7 linked regions of the Xenopus tropicalis genome follow. The protein of the gene in region 1 binds, or shares a complex with, the protein of each later gene. Links are inferred from orthologs where the notes say so. Each region holds a gene or a part of one and is shown in the gene's direction. Other genes may lie near its edges. The genes, in order: snrpd3, lsm7, armc7, cript, ppih, lsm3 and snrpg.

The links.
Region 2: snrpd3 (region 1) and lsm7 share a complex: the UniProt entries of both Homo sapiens proteins name them as parts of the U4/U6-U5 tri-snRNP complex. The link is inferred for Xenopus tropicalis from reciprocal best matches to the Homo sapiens genes SNRPD3 and LSM7.
Region 3: snrpd3 (region 1) and armc7 share a complex: the UniProt entries of both Homo sapiens proteins name them as parts of the minor spliceosome. The link is inferred for Xenopus tropicalis from reciprocal best matches to the Homo sapiens genes SNRPD3 and ARMC7.
Region 4: snrpd3 (region 1) and cript share a complex: the UniProt entries of both Homo sapiens proteins name them as parts of the minor spliceosome. The link is inferred for Xenopus tropicalis from reciprocal best matches to the Homo sapiens genes SNRPD3 and CRIPT.
Region 5: snrpd3 (region 1) and ppih share a complex: the UniProt entries of both Homo sapiens proteins name them as parts of the U4/U6-U5 tri-snRNP complex. The link is inferred for Xenopus tropicalis from reciprocal best matches to the Homo sapiens genes SNRPD3 and PPIH.
Region 6: snrpd3 (region 1) and lsm3 share a complex: the UniProt entries of both Homo sapiens proteins name them as parts of the U4/U6-U5 tri-snRNP complex. The link is inferred for Xenopus tropicalis from reciprocal best matches to the Homo sapiens genes SNRPD3 and LSM3.
Region 7: snrpd3 (region 1) and snrpg share a complex: the UniProt entries of both Homo sapiens proteins name them as parts of the U7 snRNP complex. The link is inferred for Xenopus tropicalis from reciprocal best matches to the Homo sapiens genes SNRPD3 and SNRPG.

The regions. Positions count from the first base shown.
Region 1 is NC_030677.2:152,605,404-152,609,550, forward strand, and holds the start of snrpd3 (small nuclear ribonucleoprotein Sm D3), read left to right. Parts: upstream 1-1,250; 5' UTR 1,251-1,273; coding exon 1,274-1,399; intron 1,400-3,840; coding exon 3,841-4,033; intron 4,034-4,147. UniProt on the Homo sapiens protein: Plays a role in pre-mRNA splicing as a core component of the spliceosomal U1, U2, U4 and U5 small nuclear ribonucleoproteins (snRNPs), the building blocks of the spliceosome.
Region 2 is NC_030677.2:92,738,198-92,742,378, reverse strand, and holds the end of lsm7 (U6 snRNA-associated Sm-like protein LSm7), read left to right. Parts: intron 1-294; coding exon 295-366; intron 367-3,307; coding exon 3,308-3,450; 3' UTR 3,451-3,650; downstream 3,651-4,181. UniProt on the Homo sapiens protein: Plays a role in pre-mRNA splicing as component of the U4/U6-U5 tri-snRNP complex that is involved in spliceosome assembly, and as component of the precatalytic spliceosome (spliceosome B complex).
Region 3 is NC_030686.2:44,366,202-44,370,437, forward strand, and holds the start of armc7 (armadillo repeat-containing protein 7), read left to right. Parts: upstream 1-1,359; 5' UTR 1,360-1,431; coding exon 1,432-1,507; intron 1,508-1,511; exon of another isoform or gene 1,512-1,601; coding exon 1,602-1,766; intron 1,767-3,414; coding exon 3,415-3,767; 3' UTR 3,768-4,236. UniProt on the Homo sapiens protein: As a component of the minor spliceosome, involved in the splicing of U12-type introns in pre-mRNAs.
Region 4 is NC_030681.2:19,972,102-19,976,273, forward strand, and holds the start of cript (cysteine-rich PDZ-binding protein), read left to right. Parts: upstream 1-1,336; 5' UTR 1,337-1,338; coding exon 1,339-1,354; intron 1,355-2,438; coding exon 2,439-2,504; intron 2,505-4,035; coding exon 4,036-4,090; intron 4,091-4,172. UniProt on the Homo sapiens protein: As a component of the minor spliceosome, involved in the splicing of U12-type introns in pre-mRNAs. Involved in the cytoskeletal anchoring of DLG4 in excitatory synapses.
Region 5 is NC_030683.2:94,758,804-94,763,004, reverse strand, and holds the start of ppih (peptidyl-prolyl cis-trans isomerase H), read left to right. Parts: upstream 1-1,333; 5' UTR 1,334-1,336; coding exon 1,337-1,402; intron 1,403-2,278; coding exon 2,279-2,343; intron 2,344-3,597; coding exon 3,598-3,621; intron 3,622-4,201. UniProt on the Homo sapiens protein: PPIase that catalyzes the cis-trans isomerization of proline imidic peptide bonds in oligopeptides and may therefore assist protein folding. Participates in pre-mRNA splicing.
Region 6 is NC_030680.2:132,918,313-132,922,445, reverse strand, and holds the start of lsm3 (U6 snRNA-associated Sm-like protein LSm3), read left to right. Parts: upstream 1-1,286; 5' UTR 1,287-1,299; coding exon 1,300-1,320; intron 1,321-4,133. Other genes in the region: xpc (DNA repair protein complementing XP-C cells), read right to left, coding at 520-604. UniProt on the Homo sapiens protein: Plays a role in pre-mRNA splicing as component of the U4/U6-U5 tri-snRNP complex that is involved in spliceosome assembly, and as component of the precatalytic spliceosome (spliceosome B complex).
Region 7 is NC_030679.2:122,085,791-122,089,872, reverse strand, and holds the start of snrpg (small nuclear ribonucleoprotein G), read left to right. Parts: upstream 1-1,178; 5' UTR 1,179-1,205; coding exon 1,206-1,237; intron 1,238-1,851; coding exon 1,852-1,874; intron 1,875-2,682; coding exon 2,683-2,807; intron 2,808-4,082. Other genes in the region: protein FAM136A, read right to left, coding at 694-780. UniProt on the Homo sapiens protein: Plays a role in pre-mRNA splicing as a core component of the spliceosomal U1, U2, U4 and U5 small nuclear ribonucleoproteins (snRNPs), the building blocks of the spliceosome.

The DNA.
Region 1 (4,147 bases):
ACATTTTTGTGCACAGATGCCATTTTGTCCATTTTACTTAATGTTGCATGTGCTTTCTGGCAGTTCAGAAACAATGCATTCAGCAGATATATAAACAAAATAAGCCTGATCATTCTGGGCCCATACATATGCCAGCGGTCTGCCAATTCAGTTAATAAAGTCAGAATCAGCACCTATTAAAAGCGCAGACTAAAAGAAACAGTCTGATCAGGTGCGGACTGGAAATGGGGCCTTGGCATTTAATTATACGCGGATACCCAAATAGCCCCCTATCACCCCAATAAATAGTGTCTGTGACATCTTACAGCAGCCCTTCTGGCATTTATCACAATCCACAGATTGCACGTCTGAGTCTAATTGGAGGTTTCAGCTCAAGATATTTAATAATAATTCATAATATATAATATGAAAAGTTGCAGTGCAACTAGCCGCTCTTAAATGGTGTGAATAGATAAATGGGTTGATGAGCGGAACTAAGTCACTCATATCTGTTTCCCACCGGAAGTTGTTTGCTTGTGCAGTCGCCGGGAAAAGGGGGCAGAGAGATACGACAGCCTGTTTCCTTTCGCTGTGCATTGTGGGGCAGGCGGGACGCCATTAGAACGCAGAACAGAGCCACGCTAGTAAGTATTACCCAAAGCAAACAAAAGTTCGGTAAAAAGTCTGCGCTTTGCAGGATTGTCAGAGAGGCCCGGGGGTTGCAGCGTGCGGATATCTGGGCGGGGTGTGCGTCTCGGTTACTCGGCGCTTGTTCGCTTTCCCTTAGGTCTGTGCGGTTGGCAGCTTTGTATGAGTGTGAGCAGGGCTTCCCTCTAAATATTGCCTTATGGTGAGGTTATATACAGGGTGCCGGGCCCAACGCATCTCACTGTGTTACCAGTCCGTTATCCGTTTCTATAAATATTCCTGCCTTAGGCCGGGGGCACTGAAACGTTTGTGTAGGCCTCAGTGCCAGTATCCCAGGGAACTCATTCATTGAGGGTTACTCCTCTGCTTCTGCGGGTTGTGCTGCTGCGATGTCCTAACGTGCATGTGTTTCTGAAGGGCTGGGCATGTTTGTGTGCATATGTATGGCTGAATTTATAGACTGTAAGTGATTAAAGCTTTAGGCTGGATAAACATTATGTAATAAGGATTTTTATTTGAATATACCTTATAGTTTGCACATGGCTGCATTGTATGCAGTAACCTGCGTTGCGCTTTGTATGTTCTCCACGTTTTTTTGCTAATTTTTATTTCTCCAATTGCAGGTTAATCTCCATTAGCTCTCAATATGTCTATCGGTGTACCAATTAAAGTCCTTCATGAGGCAGAAGGCCACATTGTGACATGTGAAACTAACACCGGAGAGGTATACAGGGGGAAATTGATTGAAGCAGAGGATAACATGAACTGCCAAGTAAGTAAAATAAGCAAGTCATTCGTATTATATCTATAGCAAGTGCACCTAAACTTATAAATATTTACCTTATGCCATGTTTGTAAGTACGTTGGTGATTGCAGTATAAACTCTAGTGATAGACCTTATGGACCAACAATTGTAAAGGCTGTGTTAAACTAAAAATGTGTGTGTGAATTGTTAGGGGCAAAGTATTTTCCAAAAGGCACCTATTTATTCCCTATATAGTGCCTCGGTTACCCTATCCATTGCAAAAGAAGCAGTTATATTGTGGTCAGAAGCGTAAATAGCTTAAAGGAGACATGGAAAAATAGGGGAAAAAAAAACCTAATTTTGTAGACAATTATGAACAATATATGCTGCGGGTTTCATTTGGGCTAAAAAATACTCATCTGTAAATATGGCCTCTTTATTGGAGCTCCCTGTAGATCCTATCAGTTCTCTGTCCCTGTTTAAAATGAAGGGTGGGCGTGTCCTAACGGTCCCTGCCAGAAGCACAGTAGGAGGGGGGAAGGCAATCACAGCCCAGCACTCACACAAGCAGAGACAGGCTTCAGTTCCCTATCAGGTCATCCTAGCTGCTGATTGGTTCCTATCCAGCCAGCAGGAAGTGGAACAGATGGGCGGGACTATTAGGGTTTTGGTGGAATTTCTCAATAAAACAGTCCAAAAAACAATTTTTTTTAAACCACAGTCCTTCTATATCTAGAGGAGTATAATTTACTGGTACATTCTTAATTTTTATACAATGTCTCCTTTAATCCTAATCTATTTCAATTTCCTAGCTGTGTCTCTAGATGTCAGTATATTCACAGTAAAGCTCAGTGATAAGGAGCAGAAGTAAAATATGTAAATGCTGTTGTTGCTATGCACTTTTAAACTGTTAGTTACAGGAGCCTAGTTAGTGGGGTGTGGCTACACCCGTATTGCATTCCTGTTGTGTAATTTAAAAAATATTTAGGGTGACAATTTCCTTTTGCTCTTTTTACTAAGCACTCTTCTGTTGTTCATGTATAAACTTCTCTTTTAACATGGAGAAAAGTCTCCTTTATCTACCCACAGAAGCCAAACGGTAACATATTTTGGTGTTCCTATTCTTTTAAACTATGTAAGTGTTTCAAAGTAATCAAAATACGATGTAGTGTTACCCTGCACTGGTAGAACTGGTGTTTGCTTCAGTAACACACAGCAGCTTGGATGGCTGCCCCCACTGATACTACTATAGTTCATATAAATAAGCTGCTGTGTATCAGTGGGGGCAGCCATCCAAGCTGGGATAAACTGAGTAAGGGCTCTGGCACACGGGGGAGATTAGTCGCCCGCGATTAACTCCCTGTTCGCGGGCGACTAATCTCCCCGAGTTGCCTACCCCTGCCATCCCACCGGCGAACATGTAAGTCGCCGGCGGGATGGCAGACGCGGCGGGGCGATTTCCGGAAATCACCGAAAAAGACTTGCGAGTCTTTTTCGGCGATTTGCGCGAAATCGCGCCGCCACGTCTGCCATCCCGCCGGCGACTTACATGTTCGCCGGTGGGATGGCAGGGGTAGGCAACTCGGGGAGATTAGTCGCCCGCGAACAGGGAGTTAATCGCGGGCGACTAATCTCCCCCGTGTGCCAGAGCCCTAAAGGTGCTGGTTACATAAGCTGTATTGTATTTTACAGAGCTTATCTTTTTGTCACCTGTGCCATTCAGCCCTCTTTGTTTGAATAGCTGCCCCCATGCAGCTTTATTTCTATAGACCAGGGTTTCCCAACCTTTTGTACCTGTGAGCCACATTTAAATGTAAAAAGAGTTTGGGAGCAAATGAAGCATAAAAAATTCTTTTGGGTTGCCAAATAAGGGCTGTTATTGGCTATTTGGTAGCCCTTATGGGGACTGGAAGCCTACAGGATTGTGCTGGCAATACAGCTGGTTTTTATGCAACAGAAACTTGCCTCCTTACCAGAAATTACAAAAAATAAGCACCTGCTTAAAGTCCACTGGGAGCCACTGGTTGGGCATTACTGGTATAGACTATAGCAGTGTTTCTAAAGCATTTTAACGCAGCTGTATATTACCTTGTACAATAAATAGGTTGTTTTTGGCTATTTTAATTAAAAGGGTCCTCCAGCCAAAAACTGTTTTTGTAATGAAAAAATTTAATTCTACGCAACTTGGATATACATTAAAGGAAATTTAAAACTGCAAAGACTGGTCTTCTAAACATTCTTCTACTGTGTATGAATGTTCTTGGTGCTGTCTCCCAGGAAAAGAACATGGTTTTGGCTATTCTTTGAGCTAAACAAGGGGGAGACATGAGTGTGAAGTCAAACACGATCCCGTTAAAGCTTTATAAATATAAAACATTGTAATAGAATTCCTCACATAGTGCTGTATGTTAAGCCTGTGTCCTTTTTTCTTCCCTCCATGGATGCTTAAATTGTACTTTGACTTTCAGATGTCAAACATCACTGTAACGTACAGGGATGGCAGAGTGGCACAACTAGAACAGGTCTACATCAGAGGCAGCAAAATTCGTTTTCTCATCCTCCCAGACATGTTGAAAAATGCTCCCATGTTAAAGAGTATGAAGAATAAAAACCAGGGTTCTGGTGCCGGCAGAGGAAAAGCAGCTATTCTCAAGGCCCAAGGTAAGTTTTATTTGTGTAGGGGCAGGGTTAACAGGGTGATGTCTGTAAAATTCCATGATCATCATTAAAAGCCCTCCGTTCCCTTGGTTTAAGTTACTAATTGTTAAATTAGTT
Region 2 (4,181 bases), about 60 Mb from region 1:
AACTGAGTTCATTCTAGTGTAAGACTGTGGAAGCAGTTTGAAAAGCATCTTTTTGGAATTCATAAACTACTTTTGCAATATCTGTAAAGTCTTTAGTAGGTTTCAACCATACAAGATGTTAAATCTCGCCCTGTAATACACCAGCTAAAATGACATTTTCCTGAGAATCATCTTCCATTTTAACGGATATAGGCAAAGCTGAAAACATTTACATAAGCTTGGGGTGCAGAACTATTTGGGCTTCTCTTTTTAAATACTTTTTTCCCCTTGTTTTTATTCTTCACCTGATTAAAGCAAGCGGAGTACTGAAAGGATTTGATCCACTGCTGAATCTTGTACTGGATGGCACAATAGAATATATGAGAGGTAAGTACTAAAAATTCATAAAGCTTTCATATACATAGGATGCACTTCAAATTTGTATGCATTGTTTTGCTATTTGACTGGAGGCGGCACATGGAATAATTGTGTTGGGTTGAAAACCCCAACATACTGTTCTTCGACTTTGGCTTATTCTTCCACTTCTTCTTCTTTTTAGCGCCCCCCATTTTCTAAACGCTACTCCTCTTACAGTTTTAGGGGTACAACAACCAAACTCTCCACACTTCTTCGCCCTATAGCAGAGCAGGTTGCTTGTGCTTTTTTTATGCGTTCCCGCCCCCCGTCTTTTTGTGGCGCCCCTCCGAACACCCCAATGATTGCTGAATGCCCAAAAGTGGGCGGAGCTGTGAACAGCCAATCAGATTTTACCTATTGACTTGGTGGAAATTCAACCTTGCTGTTCAGAAAAAAAGTGGGCGGAGCCACCAACAGCCAATAACATTTCACCTATTTACTTTCAACTGTGAAGTGTAAAATGCTGTCAGTCTCACAATTTTTATGCCAGAGTCCCCAAAATTTGCAAAGTTGGTCACTGGGGGACTGCAGTTTAAAAATAGGAAAAGTGGGTTGGGCCACTAACGGCCAATCAGATTTCATCCTTTGAGTTTTATTGGTTTAAATTTAAAATGCTGTCATTCTCACACTATTTATGCCACAGTGCCCACTCTTTGTCACTGAGTGACTTCGACTCAAGGTTAGAAAAAGGGGGCGGGGTCACCAACCACCAATCACAATTCACCTATTGACTTTTATTGGTTTAAACTTTAACTGCTGCCGTTCTTTAACTATTAATCCTAAACTAAACTTTGCAGAGTTAGTCACTGGGTAGCTGCAGTTCCAGGTTAGAAAAAGGGGGTGGAGCCACCAACCGCCAATCAGATGTCACTCGTTGACTTTCAGTGGGGAAATTTAAGTTGCTGCCATTCAGACACTATTAAGCCAGGGTCCCCAAACTTTGCACAGTGGTTTTTATTGTATAACTGTGATCCAAGGTTAGAGAAAGTGGGCAGAGCCCATTCAGTGACTTCATGTTTTTCAACCCAACATGAAGTTTGTTCTCAAACTTCCCTTTCTAGTTTAGTCTTTTAATTTAAAATGTGCTGACATGAAACAATATGTCAAAATATGCATATTAAAGGAAATCTATTCTGCAAAACACCGTAGGTCTCTCTAAAATATGTTGCATGAAACCTGCCATTTTAAAAATGAAGGGCCGCCTCTTGGGATCATAGGATTCATGTTGCACACATACCAAAGCACACGTGCATACTAGGTTACATTAGCCAATCAATGGACAGAACTGTGACTTCTTCATGTTTCAGATAGAGCTGCATTATTTCTGTTCATGTAATCTCTATGGGAGCCCACAGCCCATCACAAAATTGTGGCTCAAGGTAAAAGTGACCTATTAAAGAATCTTGCTAAACTAGAATATGCCCTAACTGATATAAACTGTTTAAGTATTTATTTTGTGGGTATGGTTTTCCATTTAAATCATAGCCTAAACTTGACCTTTCCAATTATTTTTTTAAATTTTACCCCACCACTCCTTCCATCTATGGATTGTGGGTGTTCTGTTACTGCATAATTCAGTCTTTATAATTGGAACAGGTAAGGGATTTCTTGTCGAATAATTAAAGGCTTCAAGTGGCAAAACAATCCTATTTTGTTTATTTTGTGTTTCAATTTTTTTTGGCAGACTTAAGGTATAATAGATCCAATACCTGTAGTATTTAATATAGTAAATTAGGTTAAAAAGACACCAGTCCATCAAGTTTAACTTTATATGCCTATATGTAACCTGCCTAACTGCTAGTTGATCCAGAGGAAAGCAAAATAAACCTTTTGAAGCTTTTCATTTGCTGCGGAGGGGGAAAAAATCCTTCCTGGTTCCAAGAAGGCAATCAGACCATTGTATTCCCTTACTTGCTAAAATGCCAACCAACCCCTTCTTGAAGCTATCTCTCAGTCAGTGCGACTAATTCAGGGAGTGAATTACACAACTTCACAGCTCTCGGTTAAAGAACAAAAAAAACCCTTTCAGAGTATCTAGACGGAACCTACTTTTTTCTAATTGGAATGGGTGCCCTTGTGTTAGTTGGAAGAACCTACTGGTGAATAAAACGTTCGAGAGATTATATGACCCCTGAAGTGCCTATTTTCCAGGGTAAACCATCCCAACCTGGCTAGTCTTCATAACTACGTCTATCCATATCCTTTACCAGCTACGTTGCCCTTCTCTGGGTCCTCTCTAACATAATAATGTCCCATTTGAGCAATGGAGACCAAAACTTCTATTAGGGCCTTACCAGCGCTTTGTAAAGCAGAAGAATAACCCCTTCCTCTCACAATTCTATGTCCCTTTTAATACAGCTCAAAACCTTGTTTGCCCTTGCTTGCCACAGCCAAGTTATTACCTACAAGGACTTAAAGGTCCTTTTCCATTATGGATTTGTGTAGTGCAATTCAATTAATGCATATTTTTGCATCCCAGGTGCAGGACTTTGAATTTATCAACATTGAATCTCTCTGCCACTGAGCCCCCCAGTTTGTCACAATCCTGCTGCAAGGATCCTGGATAGAATTAATTGGGCTGCAGAATTTTGTGTCATCTGCAAACACTGATACATCACTTATAATACCTTCTCCTAAGTCATTAATGAACAAGTTAAATAATAGTGGACCCAACACAGAACCCTGTGGGACCACACTAAGAACCTTACTCCAAGTAGAGAATGTACCATTAACAGCCACCCTCTGTACCTGTTCAGAAAGCCATTATGGTTAAAGTATATAACGTTTATTTTACATTTTCGGCTTGTTAATTTGCTGTACCTTGTATGTTTTAGAAATGGTTTAAGTTGAAGTTTTTAGAACTTTTGTGAATTGTCACTTGTTCTATTAAAACATGTCTTTTTCTCTTTAGATCCAGATGACCAGTATAAATTAACAGAGGACACACGGCAGCTGGGGCTGGTAGTCTGCAGAGGAACATCTGTAGTGCTGATTTGTCCACAGGATGGCATGGAGGCAATCCCAAACCCTTTTGTTCAACAACAAGAGGGTTAATGAACAATATTAAATTTCTTCTCCCATATTTCTTTGTTAGAAAGAATAACTTCAAGTTGAAGATTGTGGAGTACTGAATTTGTTTTGTTTATTTTATATAGAACATTTTTTTTTTTTTTTTTTTTAAAGGCAGAGAGATGCTATTTTAGCAGAGCCAGCGTATTCCATATATTTCAAATATACTGATTATTTCATTGGAACCTTTTCTGTGTGTATTTCTATTATTTTTTATGTGAGCAACCATGAAGACTTCAGATGAAGTTCTACAAAGTGGTGAATCTCCAGCGGATAGTTTTGCACCGCTTACCTGGCAATTCATTTTTTGCAACAGTCACTGTGCCATTTGTTTTAGAGTGCTTTTGTTTATTGCAATGTTTTTTTGCTAGCCCTGTATGTTATAACCTTTTTAACCCCTTTTATGAAAAATCTTCAGTACGTGAGCAGGGGTTCAATATATGGGGCTCAAACCACTCGCATATATTGTGTAGGTCAACAAATTTATTCCACCTCTTTTAATAATTGTAGGGGCATTTTTTATGATTGCTCAAGCCTTTCAGCTCAAGCAATCATAAAGGGTGCAAACACACAAAGCTACTTAGTTGCATCTACTTGTCACAGCTACTAAACACCAGAAAATACCCTGCCATAGACAATACTGAGAACTGCCTCTGCTAAAACACACATAGAGACAGTTCTCAGTAAATGATCAGCATTGTTTTATTTTGGTGGCC
Region 3 (4,236 bases), on another chromosome or scaffold:
GACCATGAATAGGCCAAATGGTGAGGAGCAGGAGGGCCCACTGACCCCTGGGCCCACCGGGAGTTTTCCTGGTATCCTGGTGGGCCAGTCCGACTCTGTTTGTGTGCACTGTGAATCCCAGGGGGATAAAAGTGAGTTATAAAATACCCTATATTTAGCATCTGTGCCACTGGTCTTTTTTTTTACTTATTTTTAAATTATTTGCTGCCTTTTTCTGCCTCTCTATGCTTTCAGGCAGTCAGCCAGCCAAAAAACTATTGCTCTGAGAGGCTATTGTTATTCAGTACCATATCTCACGTGGTTGCTAGTTTAAATATGACCCTAGCAACCAGATAGTTGCAGAAATACCAAACTAGAGACGTGTTAACATCCCAATTCCTTATGCACATGATTTATAGCCATTTTACCCCTATATACATGTGTGGCGATATAAAGAGTAGAAGGCCATTGCATATTTATATTTGGGCTGCTTTTTACCCCCAGTCTGGCCCTGCAGCTTGGTGTTTCCATTTAACGTTCAATTTTCAGTGCGGCTTGGGCAGCATGCCACCCTAAGGGCTCTGGCACACGGGGAGATTAGTCGCCCGCGGCAAAACTCCCTGTTCGTGGGCAACTAATCTCCCCGAGTTGCCTTCCCCTGCCATCCCACCGGCGAACATGTAAGTCGCGGGTGGGATGGCACACGCGGCGGCGCGATTTCACGCAAATCGCCGAAGTTGCCTTGCGAGGCTTTTTCAGCGATTTGCGCTAAATCGCGCTGCCGCGTGTGCCATCCCACCGGCCACTTACATTTTCGCCAGTGGGATGGCAGGGGAAGGCAACTCGGGGAGATTAGTTGCCCACGAACAGGGAGTTTTGTCGCGGGTGACTAATCTCCCCGTGTGCCAGAGCCCTTAATCTGTTCCGCCCCGGGCCTGGGCCTTTGTTGCCTGGGTGTCACGTGTTTTCTATTGAAACGAGTGTCTGGAGGGGCGGGGTCAGACGGTATTGCGCCAATACGGCCCGTGGGCCATAGTTGTAAGAATTGTGTGAGCAGCAGATAAGTACCACAGTCTTCATTTTTTTATCCTCTGAGGTTTTTGCCACTTTAGCACTTCTACACTTTCCAATTTCCTGCTACCAAGTTGCCAACCTGAAGAGTGAGTAGGAGAGGGTCTGAAGAGAAAAATACATCATAAATATATAAATCTCAATACAAAAGTATACTCATAGCATGACATTTTGTTTATTTCTATTGTTCCCACCCTCACACTTACCCGGGTAATTCTGCCCCTAACGCTACAGTTCCGCCTCAGCGCTTTGCGCCTCCCTCACGCTTCCCGCCCGGAAGTAGGACGAGAACTGGCACCCGACTTGAGGCTTCTGCCAGTACGGTGACATCACTTCCGCCCACCCGGAAGCGCAGGTACTGCGGGCTGATAGAGAGCGGGGATGGGTGACGGGGAGTCGGAGCGGTTTCAGTACCTGCAGACGTTGGTCACTGAGTTCCAGGACACGGACAGTGTCGGTAAGGGAGAGAGAGGGGGAGATTTAACCCCATTCAGTTTCGTTACGGTTGTAGTTTTGTACCAACTCTCCGCATCATTTCCTCTTCTCATTAGTTTCTCCCCTTAATTGCTCAGAAGCCAAAGAGCAGGTCCTGGCCAATCTGGCCAACTTCGCCTACGATCCCCGGAACTTTTCCGACCTGCGGAAGCTACAGGTGCTGGACCTGTTCCTGGATATGCTGACTGAGGGCAATGAGAACCTGGTGGAGTTTGGCCTGGGTGAGAGAATGTACTGAAGTGCTGAGCCCACAATGTGCCCCCATGTGTGGCAGGAGGGTCACAATATAATGCAATATAATCTCAGCTCCCACCAGCATCCTCCCCCCAGCATCCTCCCACCAGCATCCTCCAGCTCCCCCCAGCATCCTCCTCAGCATCCTCCCACCAGCTCCCCCCAGCATCCTATCCCAGCATCCTCCCACCAGCTCCCCCCCAGCATCCTTCAACTCCCCCCAGCATCTTCCTCAACATCCTCCCACCAGCATCCTCCAGCTCCCCCCAGCGTCCTTGCCAGCATCCTCCAAGCTCAGGGGACACATTGACTTGATGGAGGCCCTGAGTGTAACGCTGGCCCGAAATCACAGGCCTCTCAGCTCCCCCCAGCATCTTCCCACCAGCATCCTCCAGCTCCCCCCAGCATCCTATCCCAGCATCCTCCTCAGCATCCTCCCACCAGCTCCCCTCCAGCATCCTTCCCAGCATCCTCCAGCTCCCCCAGCGTCCTTCCCAGCATCCTGCTCAACATCCTCCCACCAGCTCCCCCCCAGCATCCTTCAGCTCCCCTCAGCATCCTTCAACTCCCCCCAGCATCTTCCTCAACATCCTCCCACCAGCATCCTCCAGCTCCCCCCAGTGTCCTTCCCAGCATCCTCCTCAACATCCTCCCACCAGCTCCCCCCCAGCATTCTTCAACTCCCACCAGCATCTTCCTCAACATCCTCCCACCAGCATCCTCCAGCTCCCCCCAGCGTCCCTACCCAGCATCCTCCCACCAGCTCCCCCCAAGCATCCTCCCACCAGCCCCCCTCCAGCATCCTCCCACCAGCTCCCCCCCAGCATCCTTCTCAGCATCCTCCTAAACATCCTCCCCCCCCCCCCAGCGACCTACAGCGACCAATCAGGAGTCAGCGGACCGGATTAAAAAGGCCAATGGGCCAGACATGGCTTGCAGGCCGTAGTTTGCCCACCCCTGATATAATGACTCCGCCCCAATCTCCAGTTGATGGACAGTATAGTGAAAGTGGCTATAGGTGGGCAGTGGGTAGATGCTTAAATTTTCTGCTTGATGACAGTGGGACGGACCATTGAAAAAAAGCCAGTGTCAGACTGGGGGCCCCTCACTGAGGGTGGAGGGCCGATGTTGCTGGCAGGGATCAGGCCTGGGTTGGTGGGGCCCACTGGGATTTTTCTCATTGTCCCAGTCTGTCCCTGGGAAAAGCCCAATATGCAACCTGGCACTGGAGGGGGGGGTGGCAGAATCAGTAGGTTTTATCAGCCCATCTATGGCCACCGTGTACCACCCCCCCCAACCCCTCGCCTGTCATTGGTCTCTGACAAACACGGCTCTGGTATATTTATCGTTTTCACTACAAACTTCTGTGCGATCCTTTTATACCCAGATAAACATCCTGTGTTGCGAATATAAACATTGGGTGCAGTGAAAGCCCAGTTATCTTGTATTAACCACTTCCAGCAGGACGGAAGGATATTGTAGGTTTGGGCAATATGTTTTTTTCCATCTTTCCTATGGGATCCCCCCCCCCCCTAAAAAACATGTCCTCAATTTCAATTGTGATCAAACCCCCTGTAGGTCATAATGTCTTTGAAATTGTTAGTTTGCCTTTAACCATTCTCTCTTTTCCAATAGGGGGTCTCTGTAATCTCTGCCTGGACAAGACTAACAAGAGTCACATACTAGACTCCGGGGGGCTGAAATTGGTCATCAATTGCCTGTCCAGCCGTCGGGAAGAGACGGTGCTTTCGGCGCTGACCACACTCATGTTCCTGTGCACGGCCGCCTCCCGCACTGAAGTGACGGCTCCTGCTGTGGTGGAGTGCATGGTGCGCTTCTCCCTTTCCACCAACCGCAGGATCAGCAATTTGGCCACCATCTTCCTGCAGGATTACTGCAGCGATAAGCAAGTGCAAGAAGCCAAAGAACTGAGCCAACATTCGGCATTGGGAATCCCGCTCCCTGAATCCACGCAGCACCCCATCTGACTCCCGTGTCGGACATTTGCACCCTACTAGAAACAGATGCAGCATGGCTGTTCTCGGAGTGTGACAAACTCTGTGTTTGAAGTGCTGGTCACTTTCATGATCATGAAACAAGTTTGGGAGACAAGTGCAAGCCTTGCCGGACTGCAGTCCCCTGCAAGATACTGTTCCGTGATTCAGTTATGGACTGACCCCATGGTCCCTCGTGTATTTATTTCTACTGTATTAAAATCATTAAAGAGGAAAAGCACTCGGTGCTGCTATCTACACTGCTATCCACTCTTCGTGAGTGGCCAATGGTTGGCGAGATTGTACAGTTGTGTTTCTTAGCTCTCCCCAGCAAAGCTTCATGGGTTATTCAGGGTCCATGAAAGGGGTGGGGGAACCTTATGGTAGGGGGTGACACTTGGGTGGATCATGGGGAGAGTTTTAATATAATTGCAGTGGATTAGGGATGTGGCTATGCATGTGA
Region 4 (4,172 bases), on another chromosome or scaffold:
CCACAGAATGGGCAATCTCCCCTAACTGGCCTTCAGGCTGGGCTGTGTATGTAGCCACAGAATGGGCAATCTCCCCTAACTGGCCTGCAGGCTGGGCTGCCCTGTGTATGTAGCCACAGAATGGGCAATCTCCCCTAACTGGCCTTCAGGCTGGGCTGTGTATGTAGCCACAGAATGGGCAATCTCCCCTAACTGGCCTTCAGGCTGGGCTGTGTATGTAGCCACAGAATGGGCAATCTCCCCTAACTGGCCTTCAGGCTGGGCTGTGTATGTAGCCACAGAATGGGCAATCTCCCCTGACTGGCCTTCAGGCTGGGCTGCCCTGTGTATGTAGCCACAGAATGGGCAATCTCCCCTAACTGGCCTTCAGGCTGGGCTGTGTATGTAGCCACAGAATGGGCAATCTCCCCTAACTGGCCTTCAGGCTGGGCTGTGTATGTAGCCACAGAATGGGCAATCTCCCCTAACTGGCCTTCAGGCTGGGCTGTGTATGTAGCCACAGAATGGGCAATCTCCCCTAACTGGCCTTCAGGCTGGGCTGCCCTGTGTATGTAGCCACAGAATGGGCAATCTCCCCTAACTGGCCTTCAGGCTGGGCTGTGTATGTAGCCACAGAATGGGCAATCTCCCCTAACTGGCCTTCAGGCTGGCCTGTGTATGTAGCCACAGAATGGGCAATCTCCCCTAACTGGCCTTCAGGCTGCCCTGTGTATGTAGCCACAGAATGGGCAATCTCCCCTAACTGGCCTTCAGGCTGCCCTGTGTATGTAGCCACAGAATGGGCAATCTCCCCTAACTGGCCTTCAGGCTGGGCTGTGTATGTAGCCACAGAATGGGCAATCTCCCCTAACTGGCCCTTCAGGCTGGGCTGTGTATGTAATGGGCAATCTCCCCTAACTGGCCTTCAGGCTGAACACCCCATGTTGCTAATTGTCTTTACTACAACTCCCATCACTCCCCCTAGGAGCTTATGCAAACACACCAATGGAAGGAAGCAGCTGTAGCTCAACAGCACCAAAACTCCCACAGACTGAGCTATATATATATATATATATATATATAAGGGTAGAAGGGAAGTCCCGCTGTGTCTCCCAATACTCACCTGTGCGCTCATTGACCCTGCACCACTTCTGGTTCTGGTTCCTCCTCCCTCACCTGAAAAGGAGCAGAAGCTGTGTTTGATAGACAGTCACATAAGCCAATCAGGCGGCGGCTTCCGCCAACTGACGTTGACGTTCCGGAGCGGTTTCCATTGGTGGTGACGAGATCCGGAAGTGACGTTCCTAAGGAACTTTGTTGACAAGAGCCGTGTGATTGTTGGTGTGACCGGAGTGGGACATGGTGTGCGATAAGTGTAAGTAACAAACCGGGTTTAATCTCGCTGGGTGTATTTCCTGGTACCGGGCAGCTCCCATAGAGCCGTGTTATGTGGGTAACGCTTACACCTGCCATTGGATACATTTGCCGAGCAGCTGTAAACCATGGCGTCCTGTTTATATTATCCTTCACATTCGTCTGCGCAACTGGCTGAGCAAAGCCAATGGCTGGTTGGTTGCTAGGGGTGCCTACTGTTAGTAATAAATAAAGCAGACATAGCTGTAGCTCTGGTTTATCCGCTGTTCGCAATACGTAGTAATATACTTACTGTGCTGCCGGCTATTACTATTCTCCCTGACTGTATTGCTCATTGTCACTATATATTCTGATTATCTCATTGACGTTTTTGGATACCTGTATGGGAGAATGTAATTACTGTTGTTTTTAAAGGGATAATGTCATGACTTATGTGGTATACTTTTTATTTCTAAATTACACTGTTTACATAGCAAATAATTCACTCTGCCATTTAAAATGTTATTCTTGAACCAACAAATGTATTTGTAGCTGTAATATTGGTGTGTAGGCGCCATCTCAGTGCCTTGTGCCTGAGTCTGAGCTTTCAGCCAGCGCTACACATTAGAACTGCTTTCAGCTAACCTATTGTTTCTCCTACTCCCATGTAACTGGAGGAGTCCCAAGCCGGACTTGGATTTCTTACTATTGAGTGCTATTCTGATACCTACTGGGAGCTGCTATCTTGCTCCCTTCCCATTGTTCTGCTGATCGGCTGCTGGGAGGGGGCGGGGGATATCACTCCAACTTGCAGCGCAGCAGTAAATTGTGATTGAAGTTTATCAGAGCACAGGTTACATGGCTGTGGCACCCTGGGAAATGAAGAATATGGCTAGCCCCATGTGAAATTTCAAAATTAAATATAAAAAAAATCTGTTTGTATATTTGAAAAACAGATTACAATGCAGGATTCTGCTGCAGAAGCTCTATTAACTGATGGGTTTTGAAAAAAACGTGTTTTCCCATGACAGTATTCCTTTAAGGACGTAGATAGGGATATGTGTGTGCAGGAGCAGCATTAACTAATGACGTGTATTTAATGACAGGTGAGAAGAAACTGGGCACAGTTATCACTCCAGACACATGGAAATCCGGTGCCAGGAATACCACTGGTAAGTTGTGGTGCCATTTAATCGGATTTGCATTATTGTGTATCAATCCACTAGCACTTCTTGCTCTTCCCAGTCTTTCAGAGGCAGAACTTTGATCCTATTATAAAGGCCAGATATTGTTTATATAAAGGCAGACTTTAATATTTATTTTTTTTGTAAAATATATGGTGACATTTAAGGGCTGAACCTGTTGTGCTGTGTTATTAAAGGCTTCAAAGTGTGCCTCTGCCACCTATGCAGCTTCCCTTAATAAGTACACAAGCAAAACATTTGTACACTAAAGGCTTATATGAATAAACTCATTGGTTAAAGGAGAAGGAAAGGTAAAAACTAAGTAAACTTTATCAGAAAGGTCTATGTAAATACAGTCATAAGCACTCACAGAAACGCTGCACTGAGTCCTCTGTCAAAAGAAACACAGGATTTCTTGTCTACTTTTTTGTAAACATGTTCTTAGGGTATCTGACTTTCTCTCTCAGAAAAATCCTTCATTCCTGTGACCAGAGTCAGTGCAGCTCTCTCCTCTCTCCTGCTCCCCCCTCCCATAAGAATTCATAAGACTCACTCCCCCCTCCCTTAGGAATGTGTAATCTGAGCTATAACGCTAGACTGCAAACAGGAAGCTATGGAGACCAAGCTAAAATGGCAGCTGCAATCTTAAAAAGAGAAAGCTTCTAGGGCTCTTTACTCAAGTATGGCAATGCTTTCTGCAGAATAAATATAGTGTTCTAGGTGGCACTAATGTGGCAAACCTATTGGCAGTTAAATGCCAAAATGACTTCTTCTCCTTTAATGCCTCCATGAAGTGCCACCAGTTATTATCTTTAGCCATTTTTTAACAATCTCTTTACCTGAAATGTTATCGCTGCATGTATCTAGCTAATATTAGCAGAGTAATGCAATTAAAAGCATTAACTGATATTTTTATTGCCTATTGTAAATTGATGATAAGCTATTTTTTTCTAAATAAATATGGTATAAAATACACTTTTTTGCTTGAAAAACAGTCGGTTTAGTTTATTCAGTGACTGGCTTACCCAAAGGAGGCTGTTTGAAGCCATGGCCACTTCCAGAGTCTTCCCTCCCTCCTCCAGAACTGCACCACCAGGGACCCCTAAAACTGCTCTGTTTGGTCTACCTGGTTAAGGCTTATTTTCAACTGGGGTGGCGGACTTTCATTTTTTGATGAATTGTTCCATTCACACGTAAGCCTTCTTTAGTGAATATGCCACTGTTTGTTTATTTTAATAGGCAGTATTTTTTTGTCTTGTTTTGGCACAACAGTCCCTGTCAGAATTAATGTTTGCTCAAGTAAAAGAAAAAATCCAAAATATTTCATTTGTTTGCCTATGGCCCCTAAGTCCTGGAGCTGGTAACCTCTCTATAGTATTATGTACAATGTTTCAAATGGGGGACTTGATGGGAGGCTTATATTTCTAATTTATTTAATTAAACAAACACATTTGGCTTCTGTGGGAAAGGATTATTACAGTATTCTTCTGGTTATTGATTTTTCTCTCTCTTTACACAGAAAGTGGAGGCAGAAAACTAAATGAGAACAAGGCACTGACATCAAAGACTGCAAGGTGAGTACTAATCACACAGTGTCTCCTTTTCAACTTGAGTTCAGTGTATAGGGTTTGCTGTGAACATACTTTTTGCCTATTG
Region 5 (4,201 bases), on another chromosome or scaffold:
GGTGTGCGAACGATCGTCGGCCCACTAATCGACCCGACATTATTGTCCCCAAAATCGATCGGCCAGGTTTAAAAATTTTAGTCGTTTAATGATAAAATCTGCCAGTTGGTGTGAGTGTCAGACATTTGTCTTCGAACGATTGTTCTCTGCGCATGTCATGATTGCCAGCAGCGGAAGTCAACGAACATAAATAAATAAATACCGCTTCCGCCACGACATTGGATCGTACGTAGATGTACGATTGTAAAAATTGCAAATTATCGTTGCCTGTGGATGGCATATCGTATGGAAACCCGGTCGCCATACGATCGTTTGTCGATATAATAGTTCGTCGCACAACGAGTGAAATCGCCTTGTGTATGGGGACCTTAACATCAGAACAGTTATCTGTTTTCCTTCTCAATGTATACTCACTCAGCTGTATGGTTGTAAGAGCTGACCAGTAGGCGGCGCTGTTTATAAGCAGATTAAAAGCTTTAAAAAATAATTGATGTAAAATGCAAATGTGACTAGAAGAGGACACTGACAAATTTATATTAACTTTTTAGGTTTTAGATATACTTTATTCCCCAGTCAATTTATTTGTTAGGGCCCAGGTTTCATACCCATATCAGTTTCTTGGGAAACCTGATTTCCCTGTACTTTGAATTTATGGAATAGTTTTGAAGGCCAAACAGCAACAAAGCTGCCAGTGGAGAGGGAGATTTTATGGGAAGTGATATACAAACAATAAAACCTCCCTTCTCCTCACAGAATACAGAGGGGATTTGGTGTGTTCCCTATGTGCAGCAGCCACAGGTAACCATAATTCTACCTACTGCATAAATACACACATACACCCACACAGAAGCAGAGCTCTGTTATAAACGCACTCTCGCCCACACAGCATCACGGCTGTGATCAGGCCACATTGAAATAGGAACTAAAAAAAAAGACGTTTCCGGTGTGGAGCGCTGAGGCGCTTGTATTAGCACTGCTTGATGTGAGAGCAAGGCAGACAGCATGGATATTTACAGATATGGATAGCTTCAACAGAAATAAATTTAATTGCACGGAACATGTGAATGCTACAACTCCACTCCATCCAAAACTAAACCTCTGTACTGCTTATATGTCAATGAGTAAATCAGGTTTAGTCACGCGTAAACGTACTGCTATTGCCACTCTCCCATAATCCCCTGCAAGGTTAGAAGCGCAGGCATATCGCATCGCCCACCAACTTCATGCGAATAAAGCGTGTAAAACAATGCACTGCGCCTGCGCATACAGCCTACAAGCAAGCCGCTTCTGGGATTGAAGCGCCGCCTCTTCTCTTCCGGTTTTGCCCCAGATAGAAATGGCGGTACCGGCTTCCAACGCTAACAATCCCATCGTATTCTTCGATATCAGTATCGGGGGGCAGGTAACACGCGGTGTTAAGTATAATACATTGAGAAAGCCCTGCATTAAATGATGATTCCATACTTACGTACTGAGAAGAATCTCGCCATGCAACACCACCTACAAACTGCAGCTGAGCAAATGGGGCTGCATGGTGTAGTGTAGTATTAGCAAGAAGGCTAAGTGTGTACTGTGACTGAAGGACAGATTTTTATATTCATAGCAGAAATTATTATGTATTTAAATTGTATTCCACGTGTATGGGCCCCACTGTTCTTTCCGATCTCTAAACCCTAAAACTTTACTGATGGTCCTAAACATGCACTCTAAGCCCTGAGAAAATCCCTAAATATGAACTCTAAAATTCTCATGGCATCCCAATTCATGAACCCTGCCCCCAAGGAAGACTGGGCGTGAACCCCAAAAGAGAGCCCAAAACAAAACTTGTAAAGCCACCAGACGGCTGATCAAACCAATTAGGGGAAAAAAGATCATCTTGGAAAGCTCTGAATATTATCCTTAGAATGTATGGAAAAAAGTCAACATGGAAACTAGACATTTTGGAAAATGTGTCAACATGAGGGCTAATTTGTCCATTCCGTGTCTTTGAAAAAGTTGTTCTTTCAAGCAAACTGTTGCTATACCTATTTATTCTGCATTTATTTAAATTAAAGTTATACAGAATATTAAAAACATTGGGTGGCCTAATTTTGTAAGCTTTTAAAGTTTTGTAATTGCTATATTTTATGCTATTCAACTTCAAATTAGTTTGCTTGTGTGTAACTGTGAAGAAAGGCATATATTCTGGGAAAACATGAAGGGTATGATGACTGTAATACCAATGTGCTAATTGTCTTTTCACAAAAAAAACTAATTTAATGTCCATTTACTTTTTCAGGAGGTGGGCCGGATGAAGGTGGAACTTTTTGCAGATATTGTACCAAAAACTGCAGAGAACTTCAGGTGAAGTTGCATGACTTTTGCTGTCAAAACTCTGGAGTAGTTATATAGCAACACTGACAAAGTTTGCAACTGCCCATAACCCAAAGCAACCAATCAGATGTTTGCTGTCATTATTTTAGTCTCACTAGATCAGTAAGACTAAGGGCTCTGGCACACGGGGAGATTAGTCGCCCGCGGCAAAACTCCCTGTTCGCGGGCGACTAATCTCCCCGAGTTGCCTTCCCCTGCCATCCCACCGGCGAACATGTAAGTCGCCGGCGGGATGGCAGATGCGGCGGCGCGATTTCGCGCAAATCGCTGAAAAAGACTTGCGAGTCTTTTTCGGCGATTTGCCGAAATCGCCTCGCCGCGTCTGCCATCCCACCGCCGGCTTACATTGTCGCCGATGGGATGGCAGGGGAAGGCAACTCGGGGAGATTAGTCGCCCGCGAACAGGGAGTTTTGCCGCGGGCGACTCATCTCCCCATGTGCCAGCTATCTGTCGAGCCTACAAAATAGACAGTACTGATAGGATTGTTTTGCCTTCAATAGGGATTAATTATATCTTAGTTAGAATCAAGTGCAAGGTGCTGTTTTATTATTACAGAGAAAAGGGAAATCACTTTATATCATTTGATTTACTTGATTATAATGGAGTTTATAGAAGATGGCTTTCCCTGTAATTCTGATTTTTCTGGATAATGGACTTCTAAATAATGGTTCCTATACCTGTATTATATCTAGCAAACAGTTTTTAAATAGCTTAAAGCTTTACAATTATACTAATAATATATTATCCACATAGAGTTCCTTTCTGTTTTGTTTCTCTCATCACAACTAAGTTCTTTAATATACAGCCCTCTGCATCTAAAAGAATTTGACAGCACTACTTTACACCCCTTGTTTCTTTTTTTCAAACCATCCAAAGGTCCCTTCCCACAGGCATTAATATTCTCACCAGCAATTTACATCAATGCTGGTTGTAAGGAAACTTTGGGCATTTGTCACCTGCACTGAAGGAGATTTAGTTTTAGTGTTTAGAAGTAAAAGTAAATGGAGGATAAAGTAAATTCATGAATTTCCCATTTCTGATGCTTAAAGCTGATGCCAGAATCAACCCATGTGGCATCAGTCTAAGGGGCTATTTCTGATATCAAAAAGAAGTTGTTGTAGACTAATGCATTATGTGCTATGCAGGAATGCATTGTTGTGCAAACAGATTACGTTAGGTAAAGTATCTGCTAATTGTAAATAATTCTTTATTTCTCATTTCAGGCAATTCTGTACTGGCGAATTTAGGTTTGTATCTGTACTTCTTTTGCCCCGATCGGGGGTTTGATCTAAGTAATGGGAGTAGACTGGAATAAATGTTGAAGCACAATTGTTTCCACAAATCCTCATAGTTAAGTTCTAAGAAACTGGCTTCAGTGCTTCTCTGTTTTCATTCATTGTGTAGCAAATTCTGCAAGAAGCTAAACTGTCCATTGGCTGCTTGGTGGGGGATTATGAATATAATAGCAACAATACTTTTTCTGTAGATCAACTAATACTCAAAATAGTACATTGAAATTAAACGTAATAAGCAATATGGCAGCTTTCCTGACAGGAAAGACAATAACTGTTTTAAAATATTAAATAGTGCACCGCAGATATTTTTAGCACCTGTGCTGTAATACTGACATCTGCTTTAAGGGTAGTAGAATATTTACTGCAGATTGCATTTGCAAATTAGTTCTGAGTTTATTTATACCCTCCATTGACGTTCAGGGCTGAATCATCGGATATAGAGGTAGAAACAATAGCAATTCTACCCCTATCTGATGGTTCAGCCCTTAATGCATGATTTTGCTAAACAGTTGCTAGGGTTCAAATTACCTTA
Region 6 (4,133 bases), on another chromosome or scaffold:
AATAGGAAGGATGAAGAGCTAAGTGCAAACGACCTGTAATGTTCCACCAGAGCCCAAAGCATTGGTAGTTAATCATTTAGCACAGAAATAAAAGCCCATGCACAATTCAAGGGCTAACTCTGCCTATCTTTTAATATTGTCCAGATGGCATAATACTAACACAATCTGCAACTGGTCTTTATTTTTTATTTCATCTGGTCTCTGAATTATGTTGTCAAGGTTTGTATTTAATTTATCTGGTTTCTAGGGGTTACCTTAGCAATCATAGAAGAATCTTAAAACCAGTATAGTGAATAGTACAGGGCTGATGCCCATAGGGTTCAATCTGCACTCACTACAGTATTATTCCCAGCCTATTTAGAAACTCTGCACAGTGTCCCCATACAGTACCTATAAGAATTAAGTCTATTTAAGTCTGTGAATTAAGTCTGTGTTTAGATTTCATTTTACGTGTTACTGTATATCATTCACAAGATGAATGAAAATCTCTATAGACATGCAGACCCCATAGAAACTCACCACCATGCAGGGAGTCTATTGCCGGGCGGTTTCTCTGCTTGTTCCCCGCTACCGCAGCACCCTCAGACCCCCTCCGCTTTGCCATCTCCCCACAATTCTACCTCACATGTCCCCTCTGGTTGTATAACCCACACAACAGGAAACAATCTGTCTCAGACAATAACATTAACGCGTCACTTCCGGAACATACACATGTGCACCCCGCTGCCAGGCCTCCGCCACTTACTGCCCATACTCTCACATTATTGGCTGAGCTTCACATTCCGGCCTCCGACACTTACTGCCCATACTCTCACATTATTGGCTGAGCTTCACATTCCGGCCTCCGTCACTTACTGCCCATACTCTTACGCTATTGGCCGAGCTTCACATCCAGGCCTCCGCCTCTTACTGCCCATACTCTCACACTATTGGCTGAGCTACACATTCCGGCCTCCGTCACTTACTGCCCATACTCTCACGCTATTGGCCAAGCGTCACATCCAGGCCTCCGCCACTTACTGCCCATACTCTTACGCTATTGGCCGAGCTTCACATCCAGGCCTCCGCCTCTTACTGCCCATACTCTCACACTATTGGCTGAGCTACACATTCCGGCCTCCGTCACTTACTGCCCATACTCTCACGCTATTGGCCAAGCGTCACATCCAGGCCTCCGCCACTTACTGCCCATACTCTCACGCTATTGGCCGAGCTTCACATTCTTCCTGTGGCACATAAATATCGCGATAGGAGAATTGTCAGGGTTCTCGGCTATTTCCTTTGCGCGGGGTTTTGAAGATGGCGGACGACGGAGAGCAGGTAGGGATGTGGGTTTATAAGACTGGAAAACAGGTTCTGTTCGGTTCTCGGCGCAGTGCGGCATAAGGGGTGCTCCTGGCCCGGTCTCGCTTGGGAACGCGTATAGGGTTTTTTTATGTTGCGGGGAATTAAGTGAATGTTTATTCAAACTGGACTGTTTTCTCTTTTATTTCAAAGCCTTTTTTTTTTTTTAATCGTGAAGCACCGGTGGAGTGTGTTTATATTCATAACTAGCGATGTAAATCTGATTAAAAACCCAGTTGTTGTGGTCAGGAGTAAAATGAAATGTATGTTCTGTGTGGCTGATGGCGTCAATATATTCAAACAATAGAAGCACAAGGCTTGTTTTAGTTTCTATACCTCAGATTTCTGAGTTTATCTCCCAATTGACTCTTGACTCCTGTTTTTTAGGGACACATCCTATAAAATTTAAGAATATACTAGTGAATTATACTCCTAGATATAGGATTGTGCTTAAAAAAAAAAAAAGTTGTTTCGGACTGATTTGAGAATCCCCCCAAACCCCACTAGCCCCGCCCATCTGTTCCACTTCCTGCTGGCTGAATTCTCTGGATGTGCAGGGGAGCCGGGGCACTCTAAGATAGGAACCAATCAGCAGCTAGGCTGACCTGATAGGGAACTGAAGCCTGTCTGTGCTTTTGTGAGTGCAGGGCTGTGATTGGCTCTCCCCCTCCTACTGTTCTTCTAGCAGGGACCGTTAGGACACGCCCACCCCTCATTTGAAACACAGACAGGGACCTGAGAGGATCTATAGGGAGCTCCAATAAAGGGGCCATTGTTACAGATAGGGTTAATGTTTAGCCCAAAATGAAACCAGCACCGGATATTATTCATAATTGCCTACAAAATGAGGGGTTTTCCCATTTATCCAACATGTCTCCTAATTTACTAATGTGTCAATCCATGTTGATTGGAAGAACACAACATACATTTCATCACTGCCAAAGCTCAGCAGTTTGAAAGCTGTATGGAGGTGGTGCATGTTTTTGGGAGCAAACTAAATAACTACTGGCTAGGCAGCTGGTTCACTACCCTATTGGCTGCCCAAGCGGGTCTAAATCTATAACCTAAGTCTGTCATTTTGGCTTTTTATTAAAGACACCACAAGCATTCCTTAAATCTAAAGTTCAAACAAGACAAAAAATGAAAACTGTAAGGTTTTAATAGCTCAGGTTACAAAACAAAAACTGTAGTACCGTGTTAGCCAGTGTCAAAAATAATAATAAAAAAACAACAAGACACAAATACAAGAGTATTGTACTTCACACTAGTGAAACTACACTCTGGGCTTTATTTATAATTAAAATACAAATAGTACAGTTACATTAAAGGTATAGTGCTAAGTGTCCTAGACAAGAGGAAGGAGGTCCCTGCCCCACAGACCTTACAATCCCATGCAGGGGAGAAAAGAAATGCTATTTGGTAACTGTAGATCAAATCTGACTGCTCAAAACAATAAAGGTGCCCATACACAAGCAGATTTTGTCATGTGAAACAACCAGTTTTAAGGTGGCCATACATGGGCTGATTCTAGCTGCCGATATCAGTCCCTTAGACCAATTCGGCAGCTTATTGGCCGTGTATGGGCATTAACGACAGGCCTGCCCAACTGACATCGGGCAGATCTCGATCAGGCAGGTTTAAAAATCAGTCTGATCGGGGACTGCATTGGCTCGTTAATGCAGTCCCCAAACAGACAGACGCCTATGGCCGTCGTCCTAATTCGGACATTTGACCCTGGGGCCAAACGACCGAATTAGCCTGATATTGCCCACCCATAGATGGGGATATTGGGAGAAGATCCGCTTGCTTGGTGACTTCGCAAAGCGAGTGGATCTTAGCGTGTAAGGCCACCTTTACAGTGAACCAATAAAATTTGCTTTATTATTAACTTATTGTTACATTCAGGGGGAAACGATTGTAAAATATACGATCATTTCAACTGCATTGTCCCAACATTTGATCAGATGGGCTTGACCGTTTTTGTCATTAAATCAGTCAGTGGATGAGAGGAACAGATCACAATCATTAGATTAACATTCCCTGCACAAGTCTTTATTTTGATGGGCTAGGTTAAGTGCAAAAGTAAACAATGGAACAGACGGGCATTGGCTAATATATGTTCTTGGAGCCAGCACAACAAAGATATGACAAGTCTTCTCATATATTGACAAATGATCAAGCAAGCTTGAGTTTAGTTGCCTGAGGACCTGCTGCCCTTCACACTTCCCCCCCCCCCCCCCCCCAAAGGTCCTGTGGATGCTGAGTTACTAAACTCATGCAAATACTCTGTACCCCTGCAAGCACTGACACTTGATTGTGTGGCTTAAAAGACTGCTATTGCTAAATATTTGCAACTTATTCACTGGAATATAGAATCAGAAGTGCCATTACTCGTTTAAAGGAAATGTAAACCTTCGAAAGACATGGGGGGGAAAAAAGTCAACTGCAAAAGTGCTCTGAATAGAGTGCTGGGCAGTTTTGAGACTGTTTTCTTGGGTTTACATTTCCTTGAAAGTACTTTTTATAATATCATAATTATAAGGAGGCTAATATATCACGGCACCATCTGCAAAAGAAAGGGGACCAGAATTTGTGGTAAAAGCAGATGATTATTACTTTGCAGCTAAGGGGTTAAACAATATACAGGCAACTCTTATGTATCCAGCAAAAACAGTTTTAAGATAGAGGCAGAAACACAGGACTAGGTTTAAACTGAAAACTATAAATTGAATCATACTAAAAAGAAACTACCGCTCAAACACACAGAATAACTTATTAAGCAGACATGT
Region 7 (4,082 bases), on another chromosome or scaffold:
TATAAAATGGCAATTTTCTATGTAGGATTACCCAATAGCACGTGCTACTAAAAGAAGTATATTTTCATGCAATTTATTTAGAAGATGCAGGGTTTTACATCTGAGCTGTTTATGCAATATATTTTTATAGAGACCTACATTGTCTGGGGTATAGATTTCCTTTGCTAAGAGGCTTGGGCCACACTGTGGCTTTCAAACATAAGTTTTACTCATTTGAACTTTTTGCCCCAGTTTCTTTTTCCCCCAGTTTCTTTTTGCCCCAGTTTCTTTTTCCCCCAGTTTCTTTTTCCCCCAGTTTCTTTTTGCCCCAGTTTCTTTTTGCCCCAGTTTCTTTTTGCCCTACCCATTTCTGATGAAGTTTGCAGCAACAGTACTTGCGGTTTAATGGTAAGGAACAGAAACCTGAACAGAAAGATAAGTCCCTGTGCTAAGCAAATGTAGCAGGAAAACTAGTATGTTATATTAAAGGACAAGTAAAACCTGGTATATAAGGCATCCCACAGCCATTAGTCCTGTACATTAAAAATGACCAATTCCTATTGGACCCCCAGGCATTTGTGCCCCTTCCATTCAAGTGCATGGGAGTGCTACCCCAGGGGGACTTTGAATGGCAGCAGAGTATAATAAAAGAAGTAATGGAAGATGGGCTGTAACGCCCTATGACATAAGACTAATTACACCAGACTATGGTACCTGCATTTTCCTAATGTTGTCCCTTTCCAAGCTCTTCACCATAGTGTCTATCGCATTTTGAAGCCGGTTCTGCTGTTCCTCTGCCATGTCTGACAAGCGTGTGCTCCAAGGGCAACGCACCTCTCTTCCGCCCTTACACATACCCTTCCGGTTACGGCTTGCCCTTACTCTAACTCTACGGCATCTACGTTGTTTTGCGGCAGACATCTAAGCTGACCGACTAGCTTCCATAGCCCCAAGTTTTTGTTAAATTCTTCTATAACCAATCAGGGAAAACGTATATATGTAATCAAATTTGCAATATTTCTTATATACTTTAATATTTGATACACAATGTTATATTTAGCCCAACTAAAGCCGGCTAACGCGTCTCCTTTGTATTCTTTGGTGGTCGTCATAGCGACCGTGGGGGTGGGCGGGGAAGCGCATACACGTAAGACGTGCTTACGTCACATTAAGGCGACTGCGTTACTTGGCGGCAGCGACCGGGGCTTTGTACACGAGGAACGAAAATGAGCAAAGCGCACCCGCCCGAGCTGAAGAAGTAAGGAACGGCCCGGGGGGGGGCAGTGAGGGGCAGAGCGGAGGGGGCAAGTGAGGGGCAGAGCGGAGGGGGCAAGTGAGGGGCAGAGCGGAGGGGGCAAGTGAGGGGCAGAGCGGAGGGGGCAGTGAGGGGCAGAGCGGAGGGCAAGTGAGGGGCAGAGCGGAGGGGCGGCTTAGGCTGTAGCCGGGGAACATACACCCAAACCTGCAGCCTCCATTGCGCTGTTTCATGTTGAATGGCCCGTTTTGGAGCATGGAGGCTGCAACCACATCATTCACACAGAAAGAAATGGGGATCTTTTCGATTCCCACATATCTTCCAATTATATTTTGTGGTCAAACTGATTGATTGCCCATATATTGCAATATACTCCAAGCTGGCCAACTACATCAGTCGCAGTCATAGGATTCATTAAGGATTCTAGTATTTCATAATGTGCACATGGATCTCTGGGAAGAGTGAAGTAGCTCTTATGCCTGATACTAACCCTATAAGGGAACTGCATTGGCTTCTCTTGGGTCCCTAGTCTAGTGATCTGAGCACAGGTGATTAGGTCTTGTTGAGTTATTATTATAATATAATGTATTTAAATGTTGTGTACTTTTTACTTTTAGGTTCATGGACAAGAAACTGTCTTGTAAGTATTGAAAAATTTTCCATCTACTTGTAAAAAGAAAAAAAAATAAAGGAAAACTATACCCCCCAAACAATGTAGGTCTCTATAAAAATGTTTCATAAACAAGCTCATATGTAAAACTAAATTAATCTAAATAAACCATTTTCTTAAAAATATTATTTTTTTAGTAGTATGTGCTATCGGGTGGTACTAAATAGGAAATTGCCATTTTATGAATTAAGGGCCACCCCCTGGGATCATAGGATTCACAGTGCACACAAACAAGCCAAGACACACATACATGTTAGGCCCCATCAGCCAATGAATGGGCAGAGTTCTGCCTTTTGCTCCCACACTACTCCCTGTTACAGTCAGAGCTGCATTATTTCCTGTCAGCTGATCTCTGAGGGAGCACACAGCCCATCACTAAATGGTGGCTCAAGGGAAAGGATGTAAAAGGGCAATATTTACTAATATATATTCCAGTTTGACAATATTCTTTAATAGGCCACTTAACAAAATATAAACTATCTGTTGGTTAAGTATTCGTTCTGGGGGTATAGTTTTCTTTTAAAAAATAAAAATATATATGATGAGGTCTGTGCTCGGACCTTATTCAGGTGCTTGGCCAAATAACAGTGTTATTTAGAATAAGAAGCAGCAGAGAGATGGTGCAATGAAGGATTTATTCAGGATACAGGACTGCTGTTCCTCACTCTATATAAATATATGCAGTTATAAGGGAACTGTACCAGGTGACTCCCCAAACCAGTAAACCACCAAAACCTTGAAGCATCTGATCAAATTTCCTTTCTTTTCTTTCTTTCAGTGAAGTTAAATGGTGGGAGACATGTCCAGGGGATTCTGCGTGGCTTTGATCCCTTCATGAACCTTGTAATAGATGAGTGCACAGAGATATCAGGGGGTGGCCACCAAAACACCATTGGAATGGTGGTAAGTGTTAGACTGAGCTGCAACATATATTGTATGGTCCCTTACTGTGTGTGTAATTTAGGGTGGCCGTTCATGGTCAGATTTTCCAATTTTTAAACTAACATTTGAGGACAACGCAACGCAAAATATAATTTTTTGCCTAATAAAAGAAAACAGAATTCTCAGCTTTGCAATATACATTTATTACAAATTTGTAATGGTTTTTGAGTTATTTGTATATATAATTGCTATTAGAAGCAGTGTTTGTCTGTCCTTTTCTATTCTCTGCCCTGGTGGCTCTGGCATTTGAAACAATGTAACACAAGGCAGCCAACTGACAGACCTGACTTGGGGAAGGAGACTGACTTTTGCAACATTGTTTAAAAAGTAACCACCAGGAGTTCGGCAAATGCTGCTTTCAATAGCAATTACATTTACAAATGGCATTTAATCATACAATGTTATCCACAGAGAAGTAGCACGTTAAAGATGTCGTCATTTTGTTGCCAAAAGGTAAAGTAATATTGTGCATCTACAATGCTATATCAGCTTGTGGCGGAAGCAGTATAAACAGGAAGTGATGTATTTTTCATCAATTTTTATCGATATTGGTATGCTATTTGCTATTACAACAAGTGAACGAATGAGTTCTGCTTGTTTGTAATGTGGCTGGTTGCCTTGGCTTGCTGGTATTGCAGCAAGGTATTCTTTTGCCTGTATTTATATTTACCAACAGCATGCACATGACTTTTCATAGTGTTTATGTGGTTAAAATGTAGGGTTGGCAACAAACATTTGGGTCTTGTCATATGCGTTCGTTGACTTCTGCAGGTACTGCCAATATATGCACAGAAAGCGACTGTTCAACGACAACTTTCACACCAACTCTTATCGTTGCCCAACTGATATTTTTAAGAATGTTGGGCCAATTAGTAAATTCTTACATCTAGAATTGTTTGTACACTACCAGCTATACAGTTTGTCCTGAAATCAGTCGTGAGACTACAAAATCTGAGCATGTATGGCTGCATTTAGTGGAATATGGTCAGATTATTAGCAGCTAATATTGCAAAGTGTATTGGCTTCTGTGAAGTTCAGATTAAATAATGACTAATCGGCTGAGCAGCTTTAGTACTTTAAAGATGGCCAGTTTAAAGAGAGGGATCTAGCCCATGTTTTCTGGGTAGGATGAGTTCATTGTTTTATTATATGCACAGTGCATGGCTACATACATCAGTGCTATGTACCACATGCATTTAAGTTAATTGCCATTAAGCCCAGCATTGTGGGATTTCT